Linked DNA regions of Nothobranchius furzeri. The protein of the gene in region 4 interacts with the protein of the main gene of each other region in a biochemical or structural test. Links are inferred from orthologs where the notes say so. Each region holds a gene or a part of one and is shown on either strand. Other genes may lie near its edges. The genes, in order: pex12, ddo, pex13 and pex5.

Region 1 (4,463 bases), on a different chromosome or scaffold from region 4:
GCCCTGATCAAGAAGGCTCCTCCGGTTGGTTCTGATCCACTTTCTGGTCTCCACGCTGGAGTTTAGGAAGCGGTCGGGTTTACAGTTTTTCTCGATTCCTCACATTCTCCAAACAGTAAACACACATCCATAACATCTCACCCAACTTCCCAAACATCACATTTTCAGGTCAAAATGAAGCTCTACACTCAAAACCTTTCACTCTTGGTGAAAAACCAGACTTGGCCTACAGACATCACACACAAGGCCTCAAAAACACACACATTACAACATAGTAGTACACATTGTAGCTGTTGCTCTTCCACACAAACATTTCTACATGATGAACACGTGGTGCTCATGTAAGGTTTGTAAGTGGTTACTTTTAATAACTTATCTATAGAATATAAAGGTATTCAATACAATGTAATATTCCATTAAAGTATGGTTTATCAATATTAACCCATTCACTGCCAGCTGTTTCCTGATCACTAACGGCCTTCGCTGCCAGCGTTTCTCACCGTTTTTACTGTTTTTTTAAGAGTCACAGAACGTTGCGCGCTAGCATGATGTCGACGCCAAAACAACCAAAACAAAGAGGAGACTCACCTCTTACATCAGGAAGAAGCCGCGTGTTTCGAGCGTTATCCGTTCTTTCATAATCCGTTGTTGAATTGTGATCGGCAGACGCTTTTCCGGTTCGCGCCTCACTTTTTTTACAGAAACGGCCCAAAACGATCTCCTAACACATGGATGTGATGCTTCCTGAGCATGTGATCTGTGACGTATGCGGATGAAGATCGGCTTCAGGGCTGAGATGTTTGTTCTCTGAGCGCGGGGGCTCGTTGCGATGCTCAAACAGTAAAAAAATGCAAATGACGACTTTAGTCGTCAATGGCAGTGAATGAGTTAATGAACCTTTGATGTTCGATTGATGATTGTAGGTACTTTGGGTATAACATAACATAATGCCACATACACACACACACACACACACACATGTGGCTGAGACCGCGATGCTTTTATAACCTACAGCCACAGAGATGTGACAGGCTCAGCCTCGCCTCAAGGCTGCTGTGGCTACATCGTAGCTCATCACCATCAGTGTGTGAATGTGTGTGTGAATGAGTAAATGATACACTGTAGTGTAAATCACTTTGGAGTCCTTCCTCTGAGAGGCGCTTTACAAGTGCGGGTCATTTATCATTAATTTATCATTTACATGGGACCTTTCACCCATTGGTCAGACGGAGTTCAAACTGCTGTTGTCAATTAGTGTAGAATAATTTAGAGCTGAAGAGGGCGCTGGACTTAAGGTTTTAGGCTGAATTTTAAGTTTTTAAAGAAAATGCACCAAAAATAACAACTAGACATGTCTACAACACTACAATACACTTATTTATACAAGTTATCAGCAAAAAACCAGATTTTGGTGTGACTTTCTCTTTAATGAACTTAACTGTATTGGAATGTTTACGGTGCGAAGTCATAATCAAGAGTAAAGTACCTCTTATCTGCTGTGGGGCCGATGCTGCTCATTTTCTGCTCCATGACTCGAATATCCTGAGCACTGAGGCGAGCCAGCCGGACGTTGGCAAACCACATCAGGGGGCTGTGAGTCCTGGTGACCCCAAACACAAACAGCAGCTGCTGGCAGAAGATCCAGGCCTGCCAGGCTGAGCTGACATATGGGTAAGCTGCCACTGCTGCTCGATACAGCCGCTCTTTCCGGGTCTGAGCCAACCTGATGGAGAAGTCCTCCTCATCCCTCTGCCGTGCCAGCCTCACCTCCAGCTTGGCCCGTAGGTACGGAGCCAGGCACAGAAGAAGAAGAGAAAGCCAGCGGGACCTCCTGAGCAGACCTAGGTGAGCTGGAGGTGCCTGCTGGCCTGAAACCCTCTTCAGACCATAGAAGTTCTCCGAAAAGGAGGCGCTGCAGTGACGCAGGAAGTGGTTCTGGAGGATCAGGTCCAGCAGCAGGTACAGTTCATCAAAGCTTCTCCACAGGAAGCCAAAGTGAGACGGGTTGGATTCAGCCAGAACCTGCAGGGCCACAGACCTCTATGATGTTCAGAAAACATTTGTGCTTGTGCAGCAGAGCTGAGTGCAGCACACCTACCCTGACGGCATGCCTCAGCGCTGGTTTCACTGCCTCCATCAGTGACTCCTGGGCCAGAACTTCAAAAATGGAGGGCTGCTCACCGACAGCGGCCGAGGTGAGATGGGCTCCAGCCTCCGCCATGGCTGCTGCTACAGAACCGGGTCCTAAAATCCAAACCACTCTGAACTCAAACTCACCTTTATTCACAACAGGTCAACACAAAGTGCTGCTGTTCTGTAACATTTATATAAATTATCATGTCCGTTATGTTTGCTAGCACGAGTAAAGGTGGAATAAAGCGCTCTTCTGTAGAACCGGTGCTTATGATCACGGGAGTGTTTTAATGTGTGACTGCACACTTCCGGCGACACTCACAGGTGAACTCTCCTGGGTTCTCTCCCACCTGCAGCGGCACCACGGGCATGGACATCTAGACAGTACCCCTTCCGAACCGTCACCGTGCTAGTGGTTCCGGTCCATTGCGCGTTCAGACCTACTACAGAAACACATTTTTACAGGATTCTAAATAATTTAATGCTTTCTGTTTTTCAGCGGTGGACAAACTCACGTCCGGCTGTCTTCTCCGGCTGTTGGCAAGAAGCTAACAGCGCCGCGAATCCACGACAGAAGCGCTAAAGCTGCGTGAGACCTTGCAGCAAACGTCTGAAAGATTGTTCTGTCGCCGCTCACTCCTGTAAATTATTTACGTTATTAACCATTAAAGTCCATTCCAGCTGCTTCCGGAACCGGAACTTCTTCTACAGCTGCAGCGGAGCTTACCGCCACCTACTGGATGTGCGGGGAAGTGTCTCATTTAGGTTTCCTTTTTTCCAATTGTCCTCCAGCTCCATTAAACACGAGTGTTGGCAGCCATCAAGCGCATCTGCTGTCATTCTCCCGAGCTTCACCATTTAGTTTAACCCCTAGAATGCCAAGCCCTTTTAAAACAGACACAGGAATAAATATAATATACTTTATTAATCCTGCAGTGGTGGCGTTTACTCGTTTCAGCAGCACATACACATGGAGAAAAGGAAGCAGAAAAATAATATGATTACAGATAAGCACACAAAGGCTATTATTGTAAACTTAAAACACTAAAAACAACAAATAATAAAGGAAACTTGGGTTTCCAGAAATAAATGATAAATGACCCGCATTTGTATAGCGCCTTTCTGAGTCAGAGGACTCCAAAGCACTCTACATTACAGTGTATCATTTACCCATTCATTCACACACAGGTGGTGATGAGCCAATCAGAGAGCTGGGAGGGGGTGAGGCACTTTCCCGCCTTCTGACGATCAATAAAATGTAAGTTAAGTAGAGATAGGTCAGAAAGATCAGATACAGCAGTCTGTTATTGGCTCAATATTCGGCTTTTTATATTCACTCCAGTGAGACTTGATTAGAGTGATCCTTAGTTCCTTCTGTTGCCATGGTAAAAAATGTCAGTTATGTTGGTAGTTTTAAGTGTAGAGAGCTCAGAAAACCCAAAAACAGCAGTAGGTTATCGGCTCAGAATTAGACTTTCTACATTATTTCCAAGAGACTTGTTTGTGGTGATCCTTGGATACATGCGTTGCCATGGTAATCTATTTCTCAGAATCTGGTTAATTATAAGGTACAAATAAACCATGCACCCACACATATTCGATTGTCAATGGACATCAGTGTATAAAAGCGCAATCCTGTCCTGATGTTTGAATAGATTGTAACTAGGAAAATGGAGGCTCCAGCCCCTTCCGCCCAAGACTACATTAATGTGCACATCATAATTTACAATTAAACAGCATTAGCCCCGCTCAGTTGGCTTCATTAAGAATAAATAAATATATGATGCAATTTATACATCAATAAAAAATCATTTTGGTCAATAATATGTCTTAAAGAACCGCATTGACCTGAATATAGGACGAGGTTTTTTCATTGAAAATAATTTTAAATGTGGGGTCGTCTTATAATCGGGGTCTAAGCTTTCACACATGCCGATATTTATCTGGGGTCGTTACACGACCAAAACAGCAGAGGGCGCCAGGCTGTATGTTCTCAACCGGAGAAGAAAATGGAGACGGGAGGTCTGCAGCAGAGTGGATTGAAAGTGGGGCAAGTGAACAAGCTACCAAGGCAGAGATATGATGCTAATTTTAAGATGACGGTGGTCAATTCAGCAGAGGCATCAAACATTGCATGCATAGATGTATTGGATGGCAGTGAGGATGATGTTCAGTGGGAAGAGCCGGCAGGTGTAGCAATCTGATGGTATGGGACCTTAGCAGCATGAGAGTGAGTGAGTACAGCAAGGCAGAATAAAAGCCTCATTTGGCTCCTCTGAATAATCAGAGGTGGAGGACTCAAACTTACCTGGATGTCTTATGTCTTACAT
Region 2 (4,590 bases), on a different chromosome or scaffold from region 4:
ACAATATCTATCTCAATATTTTTCCTCCTTTAAAAGATTTACAAGTTAGCTCCCTTCATGCTGTCTTGAGAAACTTATCTACATAAATTCATCAGTAGATTAAATGTATTGATTATTGCCAAACATTAACCTTAACTGCCCATTCTCTACCAGTCTGAGCTTTAGAAACACTGCTACAGCTGTCTGTTATATATGTGTGTAGCATAGCAGCCAGCGCTAGCTACTAAGCTAGCGACTTGACTAGTTATATCAATATAGTCATCATGTTTCTTGTTTGAAATTATATCGATATTTTAAAAATATCGATGTTGCCCAGCCCTAATTCCTACTAGAGTCCAACGTATTAAAAACATGAGTGAATGACTTCTTTAATAACATTCCAATTATTTGCTGATATCTTAAGTTTTTTATCATTTCAGGAACAGCGGACATTTTGAGGAGATGTCTCAGATAAAGTCTTCGTCCTTCCTGGCTCTTTACTCAGATTCACATAAGCAGAGCATTCTGGGTAAATTTGACAAGCTCAGGAAAAGGGACCTGCTGTGTGATGTCACTGTTGTTGTGGAAAACGCTCACTTCAAGGCTCACAAAGCCCTGCTGGCAGCGAGCAGCGAGTTCTTCTCCAACATGTTCACGACAGAAGACCAAAAGTCCACATGTCGGCTGGACGGCATGGCGGCGAAGATGTTTGCTGCCGTACTAGAGTTCATCTACAGCGCCCAGGTGTCGGTGGAGGAGAGCGCCATGGAGCAGCTTCTGGCTGCGGCTCATCTCACGGAGGTCAGCGAGCTGGTCAAAGTGCTCACAGAGCTCACGAGCTCTACAGCAGCGGTCAAACCTGACAACATAAAAGCCGGCAGAGCAGAGGGGGCAGATTTGACGAAACGCAAAAGAGGACGACCAAAGAAAAGTGCAGGAGCGCATGGAGAGAGCTCAGTGGACAGACATGCTGAAGACAAGGAAACCAGGTCTACACACAGCAAAGATCACGACTCTGAAGCTGAGCAGCGACATCTCAGCAAACGCAAAATCAGGACGCCGGTGAAATTTAAGGGATACAAAATTGACTGTGAAACAGGAAGTAAAGAATCTGGGAGGAGTGCAAGCAGAAGAAAATACCCCAATACAGAGGCCCGGTGTGAGGACTGCGAGAAAGTGTTCAAACACCACCTGTTTTTAAAGATCCACCAAAGGACTCACACTGGTAACGTCTTCAGATCCAGTAAAATATCCACAACTACATCAATTTCATTTGTTTGCCGAACACCTGGATGACGTTTCTGTTTTCCCTCAGGAGAGAAACCTTTCCTGTGCTTGGTCTGTGGGAAAAAGTTTACCCAGAAGCACACTCTGCTGGCTCACCAGCGCATCCACACTGGAGAAAAGCCCTTCGTCTGCTCCATCTGCTCCAAAGCACTTTCTACCAAACACTCTCTACAAGAGCACATGACCCTCCACGAAGGTAGGATCAGATCCAGTCAGAACCAGTTTTATTCTGTTATAAGCATTTTACAAACATGTATAAAGGCCTTGGTCTTGTTTTTGATATTTTGGTACAGGTTTTAAATGATTTTGTTTGCATTTTTTTCCCCTAGTTGGATTATTATTTGATTGTGATAAATGCGGAAAGACGTTCAATCAGAAGAAGCAACTTAAAAGCCATTACCGAGTTCACACCGGTAAGATCGAGCCAAAGCCTGTGACGGGTTATTTGCTGTACTTTCAAACTTTAAACTGCACAATTCCTTCTTTTTTCATGTTTTCCCAAAGGTCAGTCATTACCAGAGTGTGCTCAGTGTCATCATAGGTTCATGGATGCAGCCCAGCTGAAGAAGCACCTCAGAACTCACACAGGTGACATCACCTGCTGCTGTTGATTGAGCCCTAATAAAATGACTGTATACTTTTATATTTTTTTAAATCCTTATTTTCACAGGCGAGAAGCCGTTCACTTGTGAGATTTGTGGGAAACGTTTCACAGCCAAGAGCACACTACAGACTCACATCAGGATTCACAGGTGAGCAGACAGGAATCGTGTAGCGTGTGCAGCCTGCTAGTGAAGTGTTTTTCATACATCCTGTTCAGTTCTAAGCTCTCCTTAAATAAATAAGTTTCCCCCTCCTACTGGTTGAATGTGGAATTACAACTGAACATCCATGCGACAGCCTGCTGTAGCTAGCTCTAACAATGAGCTAATGCTAACAGGAGCCAACTGATGCTAAATCAGCCAAAAAGTTAAACGTTCCACATTGTTTGACAAAAAAACAACAACCATATATTACTTTCAAGTCAAGTAGCAACAGAGCCTGTGTAGGGTTTGGCAAATTGAGTGTTCTAAGAGCTCAAGATATATATTACCTCTACTTTTGACCAATAGGCTGTGGTACTCTATCTAAATATAGAATATCAACCCTGCTTGGTCTTTACGGTGTTTAGTCAGAAGATCTAGGATTCTTGCTTTATCAGGGGGATTGTACACACTTCGTTTTGATTCAGAAAAGAGTCAGGTTTATAAAAGTACGAATTTATTATTACAAACAGTTAAAACATGACAAGTTAACTAAGCATTTACTGTGAGTGGATGGAACTAGATGTGATGTAGGAACCTATGTGTGAATGGTGTTAGTCAGAACTTCCGTGTCTAGGAGAGCTGAGTTCTGGATGTAAAAGAATTTGGTTTGCATTGAGCTATGGAGTTGGTTATTATCAAAACACATCCGACGCTATCTGTGTGTCTACATACCTACTCGAAGACACTTTTGATAGATACGGAATGTCGAAGTCCTCGGACTTCTAGGCACCGAGGTCCGTAGAAGAAACTGGAGTCTCAGGTGGAGTGCCACTGCAACCGTCAGACTCTGTGGGTGTCACTGACCTTGGAGGCTGCGGACAGAATGGTCACTCTGACGGCGCCGTTGTAGTTAACAACACCTAAAGAGGGAATGACACGAACACGAAAGAGAGCACGGAGCTCAGGAACGGAGTCGAGCTCAACAGAAGAAGGCAGATGAGCTGTCGGATCAGAAAGGTACAGGATCATCCTGCTGATAGCAGGGTCCTGGGACTGAAGACTGACAAGGTTGTTTTCAGAAAAGACCGGTTGAACAGACACAACGCCATCGGATGGTCGAGGAGTGGACGCGTTAGAGGCCTGAGCTCGAGCCACGACACACACACGGGGTGGGTCTGACTGAAAGGACACATCGTCGGGTAGCACAAGGGGTTGAAGGACCATGGGGTACCAACAGCTGCACATTGTTTGGCATGAGAGTCTGCAAGATTGTTCAGATCCTTGTCAGTTCCGGGTGCACGAGAATGACCTTTGACCTTACGCCAATAGATCTGCATGTCATGTGATGTCGCTAGGGCAAAATTTGAATTTTTTCCAGCTTCTTGAAAATCTGAGTCAGTCAGCTTATCTGGTTGCAGGTTTTGTTCCATATCTGGAGGCAGATCAGCAGAAGAAAGGGTTAAGACCTCTCCAGGGCAGGAAGCATTCTCAATAGCATCAAGTCTTTTATCTAAAGATATAATCTTTTCATCCAAAGTTTGGAATTTCTGGTTTAAATTGGAGAGCTGCTGTTGAATGTCCCCTTTCATTTCAGTTAGAAAATCCATCAAAAGTTTATCCCGGTCTGCAGACTTGTTGATGACTCCACAGAACCTTTAATTTTGCGATGAACTGGGTTTAATAAGCTTTTGCTGAAGCTGCCGGACTAATACCTGCCAATAGGTGGCGGTACCGGTCGATGAAGGAATTTGGTCAGAGAAGAAGACACTATTGCGTTACTTCCGGTCACAATCTCTTCGACATAAAATAACCCTCAGCTGATTAGATCGTTTTTTTATAAGTATATTTGTTCAAACGCGGCGGTTTATAAACCAAAATGTGTACCCTGAAGGGATTTGATTGGAGACGCGTACTCGCTGGGGCGGATTGTCGATAAAACCTGAAGGAGCTTCAGTGTTTTATCTCCGGGCTCAACAGCTAACTGTATAAACACGTCAGCGTCAGGCCTTGATTGCTTGATCAGGCGTTTACGCATTAACTCTAGGGGAATTAACCTCTTCGACCACGGTATTTCTTCCACAGGTTCTCGTAATTTAATTTGTCGGGATAGCGGGAATTTAAACGGTATGGTACGTCGTTACGTCGCCCCTCCACCCGGAGCTAATGTAGCAGCCGGTGCTTGAGATGAGCTAAAAGGAATATTTGCGCGTTTCTGAGCCGGTTTACGACTGCAGCTTCAGGTCTCTGCCTGGAATAATCCGGTATAAACTTCGGAAAATGTCCGGTTTTGCCCGGACTAACCACGTTGATCAGACCTCGGTTAAAGCTGTTCAGCTCTGGTGCTAACGTCGGACCTTCTCTGGTCCGAGTCCACACAAGCATAAACAAAGGTGACAAAATCACTCAAATAAACGTGACAGAATCACTCAAAGGACGTGACAAACTCACACACATAAATGTATTTTACCTTTAAATCTCAACAAACAGTTAATCTGCGGTTTAGCTGTAGCTTCTCCTAGGCAGATATACTTTGAATGACAAGGGAGAGTAGCGCCTCCTGTGGCGGGGACGGGAGTCT
Region 3 (4,266 bases), on a different chromosome or scaffold from region 4:
GCCAAATTATTGACGACACGTGTCTGCAGCACGATTAGATACTCGTTTATTTGGTTTATCAGCAAAAAAATGTTTATTGGGGGGTGACTTGCTCTTTAATGAGATCACAGAAATGTAATGTTTTCCAACAAACAGAAATAATTTAACTGAATATCCTTTTTCTACATAAACCTCCGTTTTTTACTGGTTCTCCTTTTTAGATCAGATGTTTAAACTTCCAGGTAAAGTTAAATTGGATGTCTGATCTTTCAGTTAATTTTTTAAAAAGATCATAGTAAATTAGTTTTCATCTTTTCACAAATGAAAATGTTCCTCTGAATCCAGCTTTCAAGTAGGTTTTGATTCTTTTGCAACAGCATGAAAAACAGGTTTTTGTTGGGTTTATTATTATTTTTAATCAAGAAGGTTTTTAGGTGCAGAAAATTATAAAGAGTGAAATCCTAACGTGACAGTACACACGTATGAGCTGTGAATCCTATGGATTTTTGTTATCAGAATTTGTTTTGGTTAAAAGATTCTGATGTTAAAACTGCACTCATGCTGTACTGCTATCCTTTTCCTGTAAGATATTATTGTAAAAACATCACTAAATTATCTGTTCTTCCTCATGCAGATGTGGAGTTGTGCCAAATAAAACATTTTAAAGATTATGTCAAGAAATAAATGTGGGGTGACATTGAGAAGAGTGATTTTTGTATTGATTTTTTTGTTTTTGTTAGTTGCTTATTTACTGTAATATATTTTACAAATATTCTACAAAGTTCGCTGTTTAATCTGATGGGAGTTTTCCATGTAAACAAAAGTGCTGTTGCTATTTGCATTTTTTTACACACACACACACACACACACACACACACACACACACACACACACACACACACACACACACACACACACACACACACACACACACACACACAGATATTAAATTTTATTATATTTACCTTTAACCTGCTGCTGAGAGATAGTTTCACATTTCTGTTATTGTGTGTAGCGTCCTCTGCTGGCCACTTACAGATTGTTACGTTAACGCTGATCGAAAGAGAAAATGATTTACAAATTGTAATCCTCTGGAATAATCTCTGTTTAGTCCAATAATGTTTTGAATTTAAAAGGCAAATTAAACAAATGTGTGCATTTTTCCTGCGAAATAAATTACCACATCAGAGGTTTAGCCTTTAGCCTCGGCTATTACCATTAAAACCACAAGGGGGCAGAAAAGCATCAATGATTCATACTTGGGTTAAAGAAGGTAAGAATTTAGCACCAACGAAGAAGAAGGCCACAGTAGAGACAACTTGGGGACGAGGGCAAATATTGCTATATTTCTACCCTTGCGGGCTAATATTTAGCAATGGATTCTCAACCTCCACCTAAACCGTGGCAAGGGCACATTCCAAGAGTTATGAGTGCGCCAGTAAATTACAGGTAAATAATAATGTTACTTGCTCGCTCTCGCGTGTTTACCTGTCACAGCTGGCTCGTAAGTTAGCCAAATGCTAACGCTAATGATCAAGGGCCACTATAAACAACATGTTCAATCAAAACCAATGTCCTTTTTGTTCGGAGCTCGAATAACGACTTAGTTGTGTTTCAGCAGCTCATAAGTTGTTTACGACAACCGTTTAATCAAAATGTAGTTAGCTAGAGCTTCGTTACAGCGTTTTGTTGCTTTGCCTTTAATAAACGTTAAAGCCACTCACAGCATTTACTGTTTTTTACATTAGTGTACATGTCCTCTAACTTTAGATTTTTGCCCGTCTTTTGTGGTTTTAAATGCCTTTTATCAACACGCCTGCTCTGATCCACTGATTTTACACGCTTAACTGGCATTAGCCCAAAGCAGAGCACTTAAAAAGAGAAAACGCTGGCAGCGAAGGGTTTTTCTGATCAGGAAACGGCTGGCAGTGAATGAGTGAAATTATTTTAGCTTCTTTTCAACAACTCTGGTCATGCATGTTTTAGTTCTTCCTGAAAACGCACAGGAAACAGCTGTTCTGTATCTTAGCTTGTTTTTCTCACCAAATAGGTCTACCGGCTTTGGGCCCGCTGCAGGAGTCGCCTCCACTTCTGTGGGTCCTCCTGTCCTGACCAGGATGGCTCCTCCAGTGCCCCCCCGGCCTGTCCAGCAGTCCTATCGTCCATCCTACAACTCCTTCATGCCTTCGCACAGTCCGTATGGGAGTTCCTTCTATGGCGGCTACAGCCCCTACTCTTACGGTAGTGGATTCAACTCAGTGGGCTACAGACACTTCCCCCCCCGAGAGGACGTTGTCCCCAGCCGGTTTGTGCAGCAGGCCGAGGAGAGCAGCCGTGGTGCCTTCCAGTCCATTGAGAGCATCGTCCAGGCCTTCTCTTCGGTCAGCATGATGCTCGACGCCACCTTCTCAGCGGTGTACAACAGTTTTCGAGCGGTGCTGGATGTCGCTAACCATCTAACGAGGCTGCGTGCTGACCTCACTAGAGTTCTGTCAGCTTTTGCTTTTGTCCGAACATTGCGTTACCTGTACAGATGGTTGCAGCGACTTCTGAGGAGGGGGCGGCCAGACGCAGATGCTGAGGACTTGTGGGCTGACAGCACTAGTGATGTTCTTGCTACGAGTTCATCTAGAGGTAACGGAGCAGGCGCTGAGGATCAGCGTGTGAAGTCCTGGCCGGTCTTCCTGTTCTTTGCTGTAGTCCTCGGCGGCCCCTACCTCATCTGGAAACTTCTCAGCTCCAGTGCTGCCAGTGAAGAAAACAGTAAGGCTTGTGTTTCATGTTCTTCTGTCTCCAAACCTGCTTCTGTGTTTATTCCAACTCATTATTTGATGTTTAAAGCTGTTTTCTGACACAAGACTTCTCAGTAAATAGACTAGTAAAGACTCAGTGGTGACAGACGGGCGAGAATCAGTTCAACTTGGACTCCACAGCTTGTACAACAACACTAACCGTTGTCTTTACCTGCTTTCAGTGAAATTGTTCTGTTTGTTTAGCTACTGACTGGGCCAGCGGGGAGGACGATCACGTTGTGGCCCAAGCTGAGTTTGGGTTTTCAGCAGCTTCTGAGGAGGAGCTTTCTCTGCAGGCTGGAGATATGCTTAACCTCGCCCCTAAAGGTAGAAGCTTTGAACATAACCTGTCTTCGAGTTTAAACTGGTTTAAAAAAGCGGCATTTGTAGTTCAAAATATGTGAAAAGTATTACCTTCGTGTGGTTTTTATCCCTTTCTGTGTCGTCCACTCAGGTTACTTTTAAAATGAGATTTCATATTTTGAATGTTGTATGATATTTTTGTTGATGAAGATGTTTAATTGAACAATTATGATTTCAGTTTTCACTTTAGGAGAGTTTCTAATCTGTTTTAAGCTCTGACACAGAAACAGAATCCGCCTTTGTTTTGTTTTTTATCTCCAAAGCTATAATCTGAAAGCTTCAACACATCGTCTCAGACAAGCCTGTTTTCATAGACATCCTGCGACAGTGTGACGTTCACTGTCCAGAACATTTTCTCAACTTCTTCGAGACTAAAACTTGTTTCCCCTCCTCGTGTTTAGAGCAACAACCCCGGGTGCGTGGCTGGTTGCTCGCCAGCGTTGACGGTCAGACCACAGGTCTCGTTCCTGCCAACTACGTGAAAGTCCTTGGCAAGAGGAGAGGGCGCAGGCATGCCGAGATGGAGAGGCTTGCTCAGGTTCAGCCAGGAATGGCGCCGGCTTCTGCAACGGCCTCGACTCCGCAGTCGCACTCGCCTGCAGCTCAAGATTTTAACCGAGATCTTTCCACGGCGTCTGCAGAGCAGCTTGAGTCGGCGTATGGAGCAGCGCCAGCCTCTTTCAGTTCCAGCATGTCCTCCGACACATTGATAAACATCCCGGAGAAGGATGACCTGTGACGATCGAGTCTGAACGAGAAAAATGTTATTCAAACACTGTTTTAGTTCGTCTGAGATTAGCTTTTCATTTAATCTGTCTGAGCTTTAGGCGTCTGTGTTTGTTGAGTGAAGCGAAAGGACTTTGATTCATTCAGAGATGTCTAATTTTTCCCAATTTTATCGGTTAATCAATCACTCAATGTAAATATTTAACTTGATTAGTTTAGGAAAAGGAAATATATTTTCAAAATTAAGCATTGTCTATTTGTTATATTTTCACTACAACAGTAACTAAATCTTACAAACTCAATCATGACAGGAGATTTAAAACACACAGAAATGTGGTTTCTGTACAGGTACGTTTTTTAATAATTTATTAGATATTATTTATTACATTAGAAGTCTTAATTACAT
Region 4 (3,807 bases):
CTAAAAATAACAGTTTTTACAACACGTCGGACTTTTCACTGTGTTGTTATTGATGTCTGTTTTCCCTCAGGATTGCTGCAGGAGGACACCGGTATTTATGAGCGGCGGAGGAAAACGAAAGGAAGTAAATAAATGTTTTGTGATCAGTATAATTTGACATAACCACGGTAAACATGCTTTCGACAATCCTTGTTAGTGTGAGAAAAAAAGTGTAGAAATTAAAACGGACGTGTGTTAATAGGGAAACAGCTGGCGAGCCATGTTTGCGCATGCGCCGTGAGCGGTTCTGGTTCTGTTTGGGCTGCAGCCGCTTGAATTTGTTTACTGTGACGTAAAGTTGAAGTGCTGAAGTTTTGAAAACTAAATTTGAATAAAACTTGAAGAATAACTGGCAATTGCTTGCTCATTTCAAGAGGTCTTTCATATTTTATAACATGCTATTTGATACAAGGGTTTACAAAACGCAAAAGAGTAATTTATTAGAGTACTCGATTACAAAAATATTCGATAGCTGCAGCCCTACAAAATTTAGACACAAACTGCGGACAATCTTTTCCTGACATACAGCAGGGTTTATTTAGTGGTCTGAAAATTTAACACGTTTAAAAAAATACCGCGATAATACCGAAAACCGTGATAATTTTGGTCACAATAACCGTGAGGTTAAATTTTCACACCGTGACGACCCTATACCCCACATTTGGGTTAGAGGTTTTCTCACATTTACCTCCACCGCCGCTTTAGCTTGTTGAAAATCTGGCCCAGATGCAGCGAACTCGTCCACCCAGGCTTCCGCCGACTCCTCTGAAACCTGAAGAGAAATGACAACGGTTGCTACGAGTCTGTTCTCACTGGCCACGCCAACTCCTACGAGAACGAAGGATGGGGACGTTTAAAAACAGGCGAGATGAAGCCAGAACATAAAGGAAGCAGCGATGAAAGCAGAGACTAGGTAATTTGCTACAACCCGCTTTTACTTCTTCCTAATTCTACTTCTAGCAGCATCAGACGCTACTTGCATCTCAAATGTTCACGTAGGAATAAAATAGACAAAAATTAACTTCTAACACAAAAAATAAACACCTTCTGCTGCCACGACCCCAAAGGGCCTACCTGCCTGACGACTTTGGCCCATTGCTCTGCTTGTTTAGCTTTAACTTTGTCAATCTGGTGATTCGTCTCTGGAGGTTCCAAGGGAAGACTCCCTCCCCCCGTCTCCGTCAGGAACTACGATGGGAGGCGAGGAGGGGTGGCGGTGACAAGCGGGGACATCGTTTTTGAGGGGAAGGAAGCAGTTGGTGGGGAGGTTTGGTTTTGGAAGGGTGGGTGGAATAAGCATCGTTTTAAACACAATCGTAAGAAATGAAAGCAGTTTTTTGTTGTTGAGGGAATGCCAAGCCAAGAGTTTGAAGGCTGGTCAAAAATGGGAACAGTATGTGTCAAAGTCAAAGGATATGAAAGAATATAAACAGTCCAAGCAAAGCAGGATTAAGAGTCTAAACCCATTTTCACCAAGAAAAGGACGAAAAAGAGAGCATTAAATAAAGGAATAAAAGCAACAAATTAGGACAGAGAATTTGGGCTTAAACCATTTCAAATGCAACATAAAGCCATGATGGACCAATGCGATAGCGCTAAGGGGAAAACAGTAAACACTTTTAAATTCTAAATAAACAAATTAAAAGAAGTAAATTATAAAAGTCTGCAAGAAAGAAAAAAAAAAGAGCATTCAGGGGTGCCTAATCCTGGTCCTGGATGGCCGGTATCCTGGATGTTTTAGTAGTTTCCCTGCTTCAACACACCTGTATTCAATGAGCAGGTGATTAACAGGCCTTTGCAGAGCCTGGTGAACAGGTGATTGATCCAATGAATCAGGTGTGTTGGAGCAAGAAACTGATGGGCGTTTCGGCCTTTTACACTTTGAAGGGTTAAAGTAACAACAGATAGATTCTTTAAGCTGGAGCTTTAATATTGATCTCAGTGATTATTGAGTTAGAAACTTGATCAGTTTAATCTTTGACACCACTCTGCAGCCCTCTGCTGGCCAAAAACCACGCTTGATCATTTTGTGGAGCGGGTAGGTGCCCTGTAGAGGGTGGTCTTAACCTGTTTTATGGCTGTTAGCTGTAATGCTAGCGGTTAGCATTTTCAGAATGCAGATCGTCAAATAAAAAGCACAAGAAGGCTGGTGTCATGGCGGAGCCTGGAAGTAAAAGTAAGAGAGGAATGTCTTTGGAGGTGAAGCAAAGAGCTAAAACCAGAGTGAACATCGGCGTGGCCTACACAAATTTGAGGGAGCTGAAGGAGGCTACAAAAGCCACGGACTGATGGTGACCTGGCCTTGTTGCTACGGGACTTGTAAGTAATATTTTTGTCCAACAGTGTGAATCTTTTTACTTCATGGTTTATTTTAGTATTAGTTGTCTCGTGTTAGTGTTAGCTCGTTGTTAGCGCTAGCTACAGCAGGCTGCAGCAGGGTTGTTTACGACAATTGTAATTCCACTTTCAGCCAGTAGGGGGAGGAGCAGGAACCTGCTCTGTGTTACTTTAAAGATGGAGAAAAACTACTTGTAAGTTTTGTTTTAATTACTAGACCAAATATCCTGAACAATAAATGTAAAGTTGATATTTTAAAGTCAACTTCTAAATTTTTAAAAGCTGAAGTAAAGGAAAGCTCCTGATCTTCATTTATGCCACTTGCCATTTCAATTCTCCTTTATTCTTTTCCAGTTTGGCAAGCTTCTATGTTTTCTTTTTCAATAAACTAGTTACTGTTTGTTGTTTATTTAGTATTTCTTTGTTTCTTGGCAGATACGGTCTTCCACGCTTAGCTGAAAAATAAAATCTGGCACCAGAATTTCGGAAATTTCGCTGCAGCTCTGAGAAAGCCGTGGCCGGAGTCGACACAGGAACAAAGAGCTACCCTCACACGAGGAGAAGCCGTCCTCTTTGCAGAACACATCTTCTCTACAGGCTTGAGATTCATATTACAGGGAGAACGTGGCTTCATTTGGTTACATTTGTGGAAAATTTGTACAGATACTGAGGGGATGAGTCACGAGACAGAGCCTTTGCTGTGCAAAAAAAAAAAAAAAAGAGCCAATTCGCTACCCGAACTCTAACGTGTTCCCAGTTGAAACCACCCCCTCCTCAGTGGGCTGTGACTCATACCTGGTTGAGGTTGGAGGCCCAGTTCTGAGCCTCCTCGGCCTGAACTTTATCTGTCAGCTGTTTGTCTGTTCTGCTCTCCACTGTCACACTGCCCTCGCCAATCTGCCTAATGAATCGCAGGAACTACACAACAACAAAAAAATATTTACCATTACTAACCCGTCAGGTCTCGCAAATTAGCAGCTCATTGATTGCGACACCAAAACAACAGTCTCACAAAAACAAATCTACTCTGAAAATGTTACAGAAGAGGAAGATTATGGTGACAGATGTGTAAAAACGAATGATGTGCAGCATAAAGAGGATCCCCGACGGGTGGAAGAAACGCTGCTCACCTCGGTGTTTTGCAGTTTGGGGTCGTCGACCTTTGAGACAAGCTCATTGGCCGTTTGTCTCAGCTCATCCTCAGCCTGATACTCCTTTGTCCTGTCAGATCAAAAATACCACCATCACGCTGCAGTAAGAGCTCTGTTTACTCGTGGTTCTGCAGGCTGGAATAAATGATTTCAGGCTGAAAGCAGCACTTTGAAATAGTTGCCAGTGAAGAGAAGTCCAAGGCCGATAATCATTACATGAGCATTCGTTCTGATCAAATGCTTCAGTGAGAGCTTTTCTCACAATAAGCTCAGTATAATT

The links.
Region 1: the proteins of pex5 (region 4) and pex12 form a complex in vitro, tested with the Homo sapiens proteins (2 studies listed by BioGRID). The link is inferred for Nothobranchius furzeri from reciprocal best matches to the Homo sapiens genes PEX5 and PEX12.
Region 2: the proteins of pex5 (region 4) and ddo form a complex in vitro, tested with the Homo sapiens proteins (2 studies listed by BioGRID, with this or other methods). The link is inferred for Nothobranchius furzeri from reciprocal best matches to the Homo sapiens genes PEX5 and DDO.
Region 3: the proteins of pex5 (region 4) and pex13 form a complex in vitro, tested with the Homo sapiens proteins (3 studies listed by BioGRID). The link is inferred for Nothobranchius furzeri from reciprocal best matches to the Homo sapiens genes PEX5 and PEX13.

What each region holds. Positions count from the first base shown.
Region 1 is NC_091758.1:14,500,627-14,505,089, forward strand, and holds the start of pex12 (peroxisome assembly protein 12), read right to left. Parts: upstream 2,820-4,463; 5' UTR 2,649-2,819; intron 2,577-2,648; exon of another isoform or gene 2,574-2,576; 5' UTR 2,456-2,573; intron 2,245-2,455; 5' UTR 2,222-2,244; coding exon 2,099-2,221; intron 2,023-2,098; coding exon 1,487-2,022; intron 1-1,486. UniProt on the Homo sapiens protein: Component of a retrotranslocation channel required for peroxisome organization by mediating export of the PEX5 receptor from peroxisomes to the cytosol, thereby promoting PEX5 recycling.
Region 2 is NC_091758.1:20,540,893-20,545,482, forward strand, and holds the start of ddo (D-aspartate oxidase), read right to left. Parts: upstream 2,884-4,590; 5' UTR 2,745-2,883; intron 2,019-2,744; coding exon of another isoform or gene 1,937-2,018; intron 1,855-1,936; coding exon of another isoform or gene 1,771-1,854; intron 1,680-1,770; coding exon of another isoform or gene 1,596-1,679; intron 1,463-1,595; coding exon of another isoform or gene 1,295-1,462; intron 1,205-1,294; coding exon of another isoform or gene 442-1,204; exon of another isoform or gene 420-441; intron 1-419. Other genes in the region: zbtb24 (zinc finger and BTB domain-containing protein 24), read left to right, coding at 442-1,204, 1,295-1,462, 1,596-1,679, 1,771-1,854, 1,937-2,018. UniProt on the Homo sapiens protein: Selectively catalyzes the oxidative deamination of acidic amino acids. Suppresses the level of D-aspartate in the brain, an amino acid that can act as an agonist for glutamate receptors. Protects the organism from the toxicity of D-amino acids.
Region 3 is NC_091752.1:7,648,892-7,653,157, forward strand, and holds pex13 (peroxisome biogenesis factor 13), read left to right. Parts: upstream 1-1,251; 5' UTR 1,252-1,354; coding exon 1,355-1,428; intron 1,429-2,029; coding exon 2,030-2,742; intron 2,743-2,975; coding exon 2,976-3,098; intron 3,099-3,535; coding exon 3,536-3,873; 3' UTR 3,874-4,106; downstream 4,107-4,266. UniProt on the Homo sapiens protein: Component of the PEX13-PEX14 docking complex, a translocon channel that specifically mediates the import of peroxisomal cargo proteins bound to PEX5 receptor.
Region 4 is NC_091745.1:74,169,201-74,173,007, reverse strand, and holds part of pex5 (peroxisomal biogenesis factor 5), read right to left. Parts: intron 3,598-3,807; coding exon 3,507-3,597; intron 3,295-3,506; coding exon 3,172-3,294; intron 1,228-3,171; coding exon 1,114-1,227; intron 812-1,113; coding exon 728-811; intron 1-727.